2 linked regions of the Macaca mulatta genome follow. The protein of the gene in region 1 interacts with the protein of each later gene in a pairwise test. Links are inferred from orthologs where the notes say so. Each region holds a gene or a part of one and is shown on either strand. Other genes may lie near its edges.

What was found.
Region 2: the proteins of PDE6D (region 1) and RND1 interact in a two-hybrid assay, tested with the Homo sapiens proteins (2 studies listed by BioGRID). The link is inferred for Macaca mulatta from reciprocal best matches to the Homo sapiens genes PDE6D and RND1.

The regions. Positions count from the first base shown.
Region 1 is NC_133417.1:137,044,710-137,051,415, reverse strand, and holds the start of PDE6D (retinal rod rhodopsin-sensitive cGMP 3',5'-cyclic phosphodiesterase subunit delta), read left to right. Parts: upstream 1-2,774; 5' UTR 2,775-2,969; coding exon 2,970-3,019; intron 3,020-6,706. UniProt on the Homo sapiens protein: Promotes the release of prenylated target proteins from cellular membranes. Modulates the activity of prenylated or palmitoylated Ras family members by regulating their subcellular location.
Region 2 is NC_133416.1:56,014,214-56,019,719, forward strand, and holds the end of RND1 (rho-related GTP-binding protein Rho6), read right to left. Parts: intron 3,205-5,506; coding exon 2,959-3,204; 3' UTR 2,110-2,958; downstream 1-2,109. UniProt on the Homo sapiens protein: Lacks intrinsic GTPase activity. Has a low affinity for GDP, and constitutively binds GTP. Controls rearrangements of the actin cytoskeleton. Induces the Rac-dependent neuritic process formation in part by disruption of the cortical actin filaments.

The DNA of each region.
Region 1 (6,706 bases):
ACCATCCCTCTCAGACACCAGGCCTATGCTCAAGCTTGCTCTTTTTTGGAATGCTCTTTTATTAGCCTGTAAAAAACCTACCAACTCTAAAAGCAAGGATTTCTGAAATCCAATGCAAAAAACACTAACCATAATAGAAAACATGGAACTATTGCACTATGTTAAAATTAAGAATTTCTGCTTGGCAGATGCAGTGGAGTACACCTAAAGTCTTACTATAGCTACTTGGGAGGCGGAGACAGGAGGATCACTTGATCCCAGGAGTTCGAGGTTGTAGTGGGCAATGCTGGTGCCTGTGAATAGCCACTGCATTCCAGCCTGGGCAACATAGCAGAGACCCCATCCCTCAAAAATATAATTTGTTTCAAAAGTCACCAGTAAGAGAGTGAAAAGACAAGCCACGCCTTGGAAAAGATATCTGCAAAGCATGTATCAAGGAACTCTATATCCAGACGGTAAAGAACTACAAATCAATAAGAAGACAGCCCAATTTTTTAAAGTTGGGAAAAGAATAGGCACTTCAGGAAAGACAACGTTCAACTAGCCAACAAGCATATTGAAAGGCGCTCAACATAAGGAAAAATGTAAATAAATACCTTAATGAGATACCACATTCAGCCAGAATGGCTACAATTAAGAAGAATGACAACAAAAATCCTGTGTTGACAAGGATAAGAGGCACCTAGAACTCTTTCATATTGCTGGCAAAGGCGTAAATTGGTACAATCATTTTGAAAAATTGGCAATGTCTACTATCACTGATCATGTGCATAACCTCCCTACACACCGGCAATTCCTCTCCTAGAAATGGGTGCAAGTGTCTACAAAAAGAAACATGTAAGAATGCTCGCTACAGCTTTGCTAGTAATAGTCCAAAAAATAGCAACGCAAATGCCCACCAACAGTGGAAAGGTAAATTGTGGTATATATATACAACAGAATACTATTCAGCAGTTAAAAGGCTACACACAACATGGATGAATTTCACAAAAATATTGATAAAGTAAAAAAGCCAGACACATACTGTACATACTGTATTATTACATTTAACTGGAATTCAAGAACAGACAAAACTGATCTATGGTGATACAGTCAGAAGAGTGATTATCTCAATATGTAAGGAGGTAATACTGATTGGGAAGGAGCACTAGGCGTGCTAGAAATGTTCCATATCTTGATTTGGGTAGTGGGGACAAGGGTGTATACCTATGCAAAAATTGTTCCCATACTGTATGTCACATCTCATTTAAAAAAAAAAAAAAACTTTTTTAACATGGAAAAAAACTTCAAGTCCAAATGCCACCTTCTCCATTAAAGTTTTGCCAGCTGCAATTAACCTTTTCATCAGGGCCTCCTTAGCATTCTGATGTCGTTTCTTTTATGCCATTTTATCACACTCCATCTTGAATCTCAGTGGAGTCTCCTTATTTCCCTAAATAGATGTTTATCTTCCTGGTGGCAGTGACCATGTCCTTCACCTTTTACCCACTCAGTGCCTGACAAATAACAGGCTGAAAAGATATTTATTGAATTACATGGAAGAAAAAATTGGGTGAGTTCCCAGATGGGTGAAAGAGGGGACAGGCAGAGGAAGGAAGGCCAAGAGAAGGACAGAGGAGGTTTCCAAGGAAACCGTGGCTCACACTGCAATTTTACCTACTTCCTGAAATCACATTAAATGTCACCTTGAGTGGCAAAAAACAAAACACCAAGTCCTACCTAGGCTGAAAATAAATATCACACTCCCTCACTTGAAAGAAATCCACCAAATAAATGCTACCTAATTCTGGGTGTTTCAACACTGGATAGGAAAACTGTTCAAGGAGAATAATTCACATTGCTATGCTGCTAAAAATATCACCTCCTTAGTGTGGTGCAAAGAGTCCAGACTGCAAGTCAGCCGACTTAGGGCTGAATTCTAACTCTGCCCGAACTTGCTGTGATCTGTGGCCAATCCCTTCGCCTCTCTGGGCCTCAATTTCCTCATACGTAACAACGGGGTAGATTAGCAAAGTCCCTTTATGTTTTGATATTCTGAGTATACAATCCATAGCTCTCCCGGTCCAAAGCAGGAATACAGCAAAAACCCCTGAAAAACACGTAAAAGGCGCCTCAGACCAACAAGCACGATTTGAAGAAGTCATTTTGTTATCTTTCACGGTTTAATCAGTGTTTTTGTTTGTTGTTAGCAGCCTTACCATGATTTGCAGAAGATGTCTGAGTTCCATGTAAACAGAAGTTAACTCTCTGCGGGCTGTCATCTTCTTTTGACGGTGAGAAGGGTCTTCCCGCTGGGTTTCAAGTCTCGGGATTCCGAAACCACCAACTCAGCGGGCGGGTTTGTGAATTTGCGCACACTGCGCGGCACACTGGAGTCTAAGTTACAGAGGAACCGAGTGCAGAGGATGCTGGGATTTGTAGTCTCCGGACCTCTTTGTGGTGCGCTGGGATCTGTAGTCCCCCGAGTGCGCCGCTGGAATGCTGGGAAATGTAGTCTCTGTCGCGTAGCACAGTGCAACCAGCTGCCGTCTCGAATGGCTAGTGTGCTCAGCTGCGGGAGCAGGTCCCTAAAGCCTCTGCAGATCCGAAGCCAACACTCCGCTGGGACAAACTCTAGGCAATAACACCAGATGAATATTGTGTCCTATGGGACTTCCCGGGGAGGGCCCTTCCCATTGACGTTAACAGTCCCCCTGCGAAGGCGCAGCGCGCTCCTACTGGCTGGTTGGGATGCCAATCACCAAAGCTGGCTTTCCATTGGTTCCAGGGGGGCACTGCGAGGCTAGGGGGAAGGAGAAGGGATCAGGAGCGGGAGCTGAGGGGAGAGAGAGGCCGGTCCTGGTCTGGCCGCTGCGGCTGCTCGCCCGAGGTCTCCAAGCCGGGCTGCGGCTCCATCCTCGGCTCCTGGGCACCGTCTGCGAGGCTCCGCCGACCAGAGTGAGAAAGCCGCGGGCGGCTAGCGCCGCATCATGTCAGCCAAGGACGAGCGGGCCAGGGAGATCCTGAGGGGCTTCAAACTGTATCCGCCCGGGAGCGGGGCGGGGCCGGGAGGACTTGGGAGGCGGCCGCTCACTGAGGAGACTGGCCGGGGGCGGGGGCCGCGCCAGGTGGGCCCCGCGGAAGAAGGGCTGCGGGAGGGGAGAGGAAAGGAAAAGCGTGCCGTGCACCCGGCGGGACCAGGCGCGAGAAGCGCCCCCAGGGGCGTCCTGAGGGAGGAAGGGGACGTTGACGGGAGCCACAGGGGGTGGCGGGTGGGGACGGAAGAGCTTGGGGTACTGGGCTGCGAGAGGTGCCGGGCGTCGCAAACGCTATCGGAGAGACCGGCTGGGTTCCAATCCCCGGCCGGGACCCAGAGGCCGGGAGGGGGCTGCGGCCCGCAGGGAAGGGCTGAGGGGGCGCGGTGGGCTGATCTTAAAGTCTAGAAGCCTCTTTGGCTATAAGCCTACCCGAGGAGCGGGGAACAGTGACTTGGAGCGGGCGACCTTGTGTGGGACAAATACCAGTGCTTTTAAAACTCTCTCAGGGCCCCCACCGCACCGCACCCCACCCCCGTCTGGTTTCCACAACTTCTCTTCCAAACTTGTGGCTTCTTCCAGGGCTAGAGTAGTTGGGGGAGGTGGGGAAAGAGAAGTCCAAGATCAACCTCGTCTTAACACTCTTGGTCTTCTGAGGCATTGGTCACTGCTTCCCCCTCAGCGCCTCAGTTTCCTTTCCAGCAACACGAGGACCATAGGCTTAGGTGTGGGGTGCCTCGCGCTGGGGCTCCTAGCCGAGGTGTCTTTGCTCGCTCCTGTTGGTGCGGTTAATGCCTAGCTGTGGTGGAGCTGTCCAGCAATAGTGTGATGTCGCTGGGGCCACGGTAGGATAGTGGGGTAGAGAAATCATTGCCTCGGGCCTGTTGTGATGCCGCTCTTGCAGCCTCTCCTTAATGTGGTAAGGAAGCTTTGTGTTTTCGTGGAGTGTGTTAGTCTGTCACCATATGATGCAGATGAAAAAATGCAAACTTGTATATTCAAATTTTCCATTCTCCTGCCGGCTTTAATCTCTGCATACATCCTGTCTGTAATCTATAGTACGGAACGTTCTTAAACTGCTCCCTCAGTGAAAAGGTAGTCACCGCTTTAGGACTCCTCCCTTGGAGGTTTAGTAAAGCACTGTTTTCTTGATATTCTGTTGTGTTTTCACAATGTCCATGTCACCCTTGCAAAATTTAATTGCTTTGCTATAATCAGAAACCAAGTTGGTAATACATTTTAGACCACAGTGCAAAAAGGAAGTTTTGGATGTACAAGTGAGATTTTTCAAGTGAAAATTGATCTAGGCTTTTAAAAAAACCTAAAGGCTGTATCACCTTTGCATACTACCATTCAGGATAAAGTTTCAGTACTTTCATGTAGTGATTTAGTAGCAGCCTCTTTAGAGCTCCATGTGCCTTTCTGTGTTTCTCTCCATAATGGATCATATAGGTATATAGGGATGACTGAAGTGCTGGAAAAGCTATGACATGAATTTTATTTTTCCCTCAAGTAATTTGTATTATTACTTAACATATAACAATGTAATAATATTGTTACTTAACATGCTGTGTAAGCAGTAAACCAGAAACTATGGAGAACTGAGAGATTTCAGAAGCAACGTTTTCATCTGATTGGAAATACCATATTGCTGAAAAGAAGAAATACCTTTTTAATGGCTTTTGAACAAAGCAGAAAAGTTTGAGCTTCTCACCTTCAGTCTTGGCTCTTGAACCTGTTAAGAAAGAGGATAAGAGACAAATACGGAAAAGAGTTTCAGAAAGCAGAATCTGTGTCAGCCCACTAGAAGGAAAAGCGAATCAACCAATTCAGTGATGTTAGTGCATCCAGAAACAGGCTTTCGGGGAAAGCTTGACCTGAGCTGATTAAATCCTGAAGCACCAGGGAAGCAGCCACATCAAAAAGTTAGCATGAGAGCAGTGGCGTGCTCATCCTCTGGTAGCCTTTATTGGGCATTTGTGGAGTAAGAGGGAAAAGAAAAGCAGGAATGTTAAGATATGCTACTACCTTCAGGAAAAAGTAAAATTAATGTTTTAGTAAGAAACTGACTATTGTCTACCTTTTATTGGGTAAATAGATTTTCCGAACTTTCTTTCAGAGTATCTGTTTCTGTAAGAATAGTTTATCACTACAAAAAGAGCACCATTATGTTCTCCCACCAACAGTGTTGATAGTACTCAGTTTTCCACATTGACTAGGTCGGTCTTTTTTGTTTGCCAGTTTAGATAACAAATGATATATTGTTTTAATTGGTATTCTCCTGGGATCCCTACATCCATGAAAAGGTAATGTAGCATAGTGGTTAAGAGCTATACTGGACTATGTCGCTATACTGCCTGCATTGGAATTCCAGCCCTGCACTCCTAGTTGTGTGTCCCTGAGCAACTGCTTTAACCTTGCCTCAATTTTCTTATCTGTAAAATGCAGAAAATAATAGTATACTACCTATCGCATGGGGCTTTGAGAGTAAATGAGTTGATATCTAAAGCATTTAGAAAAGCACCTGATCTACAGTAAGCATTATGCTTTAGCTAGTGTTATTCTTGTTGTTATTAGATAAGTTGCACATCTCTATTTGGCCATTTCTTTTTCTTCTGTAAATTGTTAATTTTGTTTTTGCCCATTTTACTATTAAATTGTTTATTTTTCTTATTTGTAGATGTTCTTTACATATTGTAATATCAATCCTTTGCCTATTATATATTTTGCAAATATTTTCTTTCAATGTATTGTCTCCTTTTTTGTTGAACAGAATTCTAAAATTGTCATTTCAAATTTATTTTATTTGTTTGAGATGAAGTCTCGGTCTGTTGCCCACATTGGAGTGCAGTGGCACAATCTTGGCTCACTGCAACCTCCGCTTCCCAGGTTCAAGCAATTCTCCTGCCTCAGCCTCCTGAGTAGCTGGGATTACAGGCACATGCCACCATGCCCGGCTAATTTTTGTATTTTTAGTAGAGACGGGTTTCACCATGTTGGCAAAGCTGTCCTCAAACTCGTGACCTCGTGATCCGCCTGACCTCTGCTTCCCAAAGTGCTGGGACTATAGGCGTGAGCCACCGTGCCTGGCCTCAAGTTTATTAATATTTGCCGTCTGGCTTTTGCATTTTGTATCTTGTTTAAAAAGATCTTTCTTATCCCAAGATTAACTAAATATCCTATCTTTTCTTCTCTTTTTAATGTTTAGCTCTTTAATCCACCTGGAACGTATTTATACATTTGGTATAGGGTAGATATCTAAGTACTTCTGCTGTTTGAATAGCCAGTAGTTCCAGTACTAAGTACTAAGTCCGTCTTTTCCTCACTGTTTTGAAATGCCATCCTTGTCATATACTAAATTTTCATAAGACGTAGGTTTATTTTTTGATTATTTCTCTTTCATTGATCTATTTGTCTCTTCTTGTGCCTATACACATTTGGTTGAATTATTATAGCTTTATGATGTGATTTAGTACAGTTTACAATAGGATTGGTCTGTGACTAACATAATATGTGTGTTTAAGGTCCCTATAAATATTTATGCCCCTTTTATTCACATAGAAGCTTGCCATATGCCCATAGTAGATAGAAACATGAGGACTTGGCTGGGCATGGTGCTCACACCTGTAATCCCAGCACTTTGGGAGGCCTAGGTGGGAGGATGGCTCAAGGCTAGGAGTTCAAGACCAACC
Region 2 (5,506 bases), on another chromosome or scaffold:
TGATGTGCAGCCAGATTGCCTGGATTTGTATCCATGTTCAGCCACTTTCTAGCTGTGTGACCTTGTGCACATTACCTAATCTCTCTGAACCTCGGTCTTCTTTTTCTGTAAAATGAAGTAGATAGTGGCCGGGCACCGTGGCTCACGCCTGTAATCCCAGCACTTTGGGAGGCTGAGGTGGGTGGATCACCTGAGGTCGGGAGTTCGAAACCAGCCTGACCAACATGGAGAAACCTCATCTCTACTAAAAAAAAAAAAAAAAAGAAAAAGAAAAAAGAAAAAAGAATTAGCCAGGCATGGTGGTACATGCCTGTAGTCCCAGCTACTTGGGAGGCTGAGGCAGGAGAATCACTTGAACCCAGGAGGCAGAGGTTGTGGTGAGCCAAGATCACGCCATTGCACTCCAGCCAGGGTGAAACTCCATCCAAAAAAAAAAAAAATAGCACCTCATAGGCTCGTAGGGTTATCACAGGAATAAATAACGTAGAAAGAACTCATAAGTGGGGCCGGGCACCGTGGCTTATGCCTGTAATCCCAGCACTTTGGGAGGCCGAGGCAGGAGGATCACTTGAGCCCAGAAGTTTGAGAACAGCCTGGACAACATGGTGAAACCCCATCTCTACAAAAAATAGACTACTGTGGTACTCCTGTAGTCCTAGCTACCCAGGAGGGTGAGATAGGAGGATCAGTTGAACCAGGAGGGTGAGGTTGCAGTGAGCAGTAGTCAGTCATGCCACTGTACTCCAGCATGGGCGACAGAGTGAGACCCTGTCTCCAAAAAAAATTAAAATCTCATAAATGCCCCCGACCCATAGTAAACATTGAACAAATGTTAGCTCTTATCATTTATGAGGCTAAACGTGATCATATAAAGCCCTCAACACAGTGCACAGTGCTGAACACTCATTAAGTACATGCTAACTTTATTTATTTATTTAGAGACAGAGTCTCCCTCTTTTGCCCAGGCTGGAGTGCAGTGGTGCCATCTCAGCTCACTGCACTTTGCCTTCTGGGTTTAAGCAATTCTCCTGCCTCAGCTTACAGGCACATGCCACCATGCCCAGCTAATTTTTTGTATTTTAGTAGAGATGGGGTTTCACCGTGTTAGCCAGGATGGTCTCGATCTCCTGACCTTGTGATCCACCGGCCTCACCCTTCCAAAGTGCTGGGATTATGGGCATGAGCCACTGCGCCCGACCTAGTACATGTTAACTTTATTTCTAGCACTAGCACTACACTATGGCACTTGGAAAACAAGAGCTATAAGTCACTGAGAAAGGAAGAGTTAAGGTCCCTGAGCTGCCATCAGTAGGCATCGGAATTGGAAGGTCATGAAGGCAATGTCACCTCTCCTCGAACTCAGAGGAAACCAGAATCCCAGGAGCCTCCCCCAGCTTTGGCTTAGTCTGTCCACCTATGTGGAGTGGGATCTCAGCAGTTTGGATTCTCTACTGATTATTTCATCAAACCTTTTTCTCTCCTCTATACTCTCCAGGGCAGTGGTTCTCAACCAGAATTTTTCCACAGGGGTCATTTAGCAATGTCTGGAGACATTTTTGGGTGTGATAGCTGGAGAGTGGGGTGCTGTCTTCTAGCGTCCACCAGATGTCAGGGACACTGCTAAACATCTTGGGCTGCATAGGACAGTCCCTCACAACAAAGCATTATCCAGTTCAAAATGTCAATAGTTCCAGGGTTGAGAACCCCTGTACCCCTGCTCTAGGGCTAAGGAACCCTTCCTTGGTTTAGCAGGTCTTGGGCGGGGCTGGGGTAGGGGGATGGGGGAGGAGAGAAGCTCCTTCTTGGAGGAGCTGGGGAATGGTAGAGGCAGCCCTTCTGCAACCCACAGAAAGGGCCCCAGGACAGCTTTTCTCTCATTATCATCAATCAAAGGGCTCAGCACAGTGGCTCATGCCCGTAATCCCAGCTCTTACGGAGGCAGAGATGTGAGAATAGCTTGAGCCCAGGAGTTCGAGACCTGCCTGAGCGATATAGGGAGACCCCGTGCTCCACGAAAAGGAGAAAAAAAAAAAAAAAAAAAAAGACACACACAAAAAAATACCGATTGTAACAACTAAAGAAAACAGAAAAAAATGCAGAGCCAAACTCTTTATATGTATTATATTTTTCATTAATAAATAGATTTTCTTCATTAAACACAGAACATATAACAGATTGAAACACTCCCCCCTCCCCCCAATTCCAAAGACAAGAGTCTATAAAACAAATGCCAGCTGTACTGCCCTAAGGGCAGAAAAAGTCTGGTGACCCCCACCCAGCCCTGCCCCTGCAGCACCACCACCCCCACACTCTGCAAGAGAAGGGGGTCTGGGGCTTCTCCCTTGGACCCTGGGGACTTAGGTGAGAAGCATGTGAATGTATGATGTCACCTCTCCATGAGGCATGGGCTATGCAAAGATGAGGTTTCCTTCTCATTGGCTCTGACCAGCTCCTGCACTTCCGATTGCATTTACGAAGCACCTGGGCTAAACCCCCAAGGGAGCTGCCACTCGGCTTCCCCACTCTGTTCAACTGCTGCCTCCTTAGAGGGGAAGGGAAGGGCTCTGGGACCCCTCCCATCCCCTGGCCTGCATGGAAACGCTGTGTGGAAGAGGCATGATGCTGAAGGTGAGGCTGCTATAGGCCTCCAAGCCCAGGAGGCCAGCATGCCCCCCGTCCCCCACAGCTTTCCTTCCTCTGGAGCCGGGGGGCACTGGGGTAGCCGCCCCCTCCACAACCTAGTGCCTAGCTTGGGGTATGATGGTTCTATCTCAGCATCAGGTCCTCATGCCGGGCCTGGCTCCTTCCTCGCCCCATTCCTGTCTCCTTCCAAGCCCTCACCGTGGCCATCTGAAAAACTCATGTCCAGTGTCCTAAATTGTCTCATCCTCCCTCTCCCCGTGCCTCTGCACCCCAAGGGAGGAAGTAGGGGGTTGTCTCCCCCCTCCAATTTCCACTTCACATAATGGAACAGCTTTTGGCCTTTTCCTTCTTGAAGGTAGAAGAGATGAGTTCAGAGCGACTGGGGAGGTGGAGCAGTCGTTTGGAGAGGCTTCGGACAGGGCTCTTCTGGGGTAGTGGGCTAGGCTTGTTCAGACACACCATGGAAGCCATCCGAAAGATGCTGTGGATGCTCTTTTCTGAGGTGAAAGCCGAACCTTCCAGGTAGATTTCTGCACCCAGCTGCTTGGCTATTGCACAGCCCTGCAGGAGGGGGTGAGGGCATTAATGCAGTGGGCCACAATGGCTCTGAGACGCTGCCTCTTGTGTGTCACTCCCCAGGGCCACTCCAGAGGGGACCCAGCTGCCGATCTCCAAATACCACCCTCTGCCGATTATTCGATTGTCTTGTCTTTTTTTTTTTTTTTTTTGGCATACACCCTGTCTGATGATGCCTCTTTTTCTTAAGACGATGTGTGACTGCACATTATAAATCACCTGGAATACTCTTGAAACTATATTGATGCCAAACTAAATCAGAATCCCTGGGGATAGCTGGGGCAGTGGCTAGTGCCTCTAATCCCAACTACTCAGGAGGCTGTGGTAGGAGGATCACTTGAGGAGGCCAGGAGTTCAAGACCAGCCTAGGCGGCCAGGCGCGGTGGCTCATACCCGTAATCCCAGCACTTTGGGGTTACAAAAATAAATCTCAAAAATAAAAATAATAAAATAATAAAAACTTTTTTAAAATGTTTAAACATTCGCTGGAAGTGGGCACAAAACTATAGTCTCAAATACTAGGGAGGATCCCTTGAGACCAGGAGTTCTACCCTGCAGTGAGCTCGGATCATACCACTGCACTTCATTCTGGGTGACAGAGTAAGACCCTGTCTCTGGGAGAAAAAAAAAAAAAAAAGGAAAAGGAAAAAAAAATTCTGGGTATAGAGCCAAGGCATTAGTATTCTTTTTCTTTTTTCTTTTTTGAGACAGAGTCTTGCTCTGTGCCCAGGCTGAAGTGCAGTGGCACAATCTCAGCTCACTACAAGCTCCACCTCCTGGGTTCACGCCATTCTCACGTCTCAGCCTCCTGAGTAGCCAGGACTACAGGCGCCCGCCAACACGCCCGGCTAATTTTTTGTATTTTTGGTAGAGACAGGGTTTCACCATGTTAAACAGGATGGTCTCGATCTCCTGACCTTGTTATCCACCCGCCTCAGCCTCCCAAAGTGCTGGGATTATAGGCGTGAGCCACCACACCCAGCCAGCATTAGTATTCTTAAGAGCTCCCCAGGTCAGGTGCAGTGGAGGCCAAGGCAGGTGGATCACCTGAGGTCAGGAGTTCGAGACCAGCCTGGCCAACATGGTGAAACCCCATCTCTACTAAAAATAACAAAAATTAGCCGGGTGTGTTGGCAGACACCTGTAATCCCAGCTACTTGGGAGGCTGAGGCAGGAGAATCGCTTGAACCCAGGAGGCAAAGGTTGCAGTGAGCTGAGATCGCACCACTACACTCCAGCCTGGGTGACAAGAGCGAAACTCCATCCCCCAACCCTATGCTCTCATGCACATAAGAAATTATCCAGGGGTCTTATCAAAAATGCAGATTCCAGGCCAGGTGTGGTGACTCACACCTGTAATCCCAGCACTTTGGGAGGCCAAGGTGGGAGAATCACTTGATGTCAGGAGTTCAAGAACAACCTGGGAAACATAATGAGACCTTGTCTCTACAAAAAATGTTAAAGATTAGCTAGGTATGGGGCCCGTACCTATAGTCCCAGCTACTAGGGAAACAGGAGGGAGGATCACTTGAGTCCGGGAGGCCAAGGCTGTATAAACAACTATTATGTGACTGCACTCCAGCCTAGGCAGATCACTTCTTTTTTTTCTTGAAACAGAGTCTCACTCTGTTACAAGTGTGCACCACCATCCCTGGCTAATTTTTTGTATTTTTTGTAGAGACGGGGTTTCACCATGTTGACCAGGCTGGTCTTGAACTCCTGACCTCAAGTGATTCACCTGCCTCGGTCTCCCAAAGTGCTGGGATTATGGGCGTGAGCTACCACATCTGGCTCTTTTTTTTTTTTTCCTTGAGACAGAGTCTTTCATTCCGTCACCCAGGCTGGAGTGCAGTGGCACATTCTCAGCTAACTGCAACCTCCATCTCCCACGTTCAAGCAATTCTCCTGCCTCGGCCTCCCGAGTAGCTGGGATTACAGGTGCATGCCACCACAACCTGCTAATTTTGGTATTTTTAGTAGAGACAGGGTTTTGCCATGTTGGCCAGGCTAGTCCTGAATTCCTGAGCTCAAGTGATCCATCGGCCTCGGCCTCCCAAAGTGCTGGGATTACAGGCGTGAGCCACCGTGCACAGTGCCCCTCCTCCTTTTTTTTTTTTTTTTTTTGTTGAGACAGGGTCTCTTTTTGTGTGTGTGTGAAATTCTAATGAACACCTCTAATGATTCTAATGCAGGTGGTCAGAATACAGTCTTAGAAATGTGGGCACACACAGGAATAACTCGCCTGCTAACTGACAGCATACATCTGGGTAAGCAGGTACCCACCACC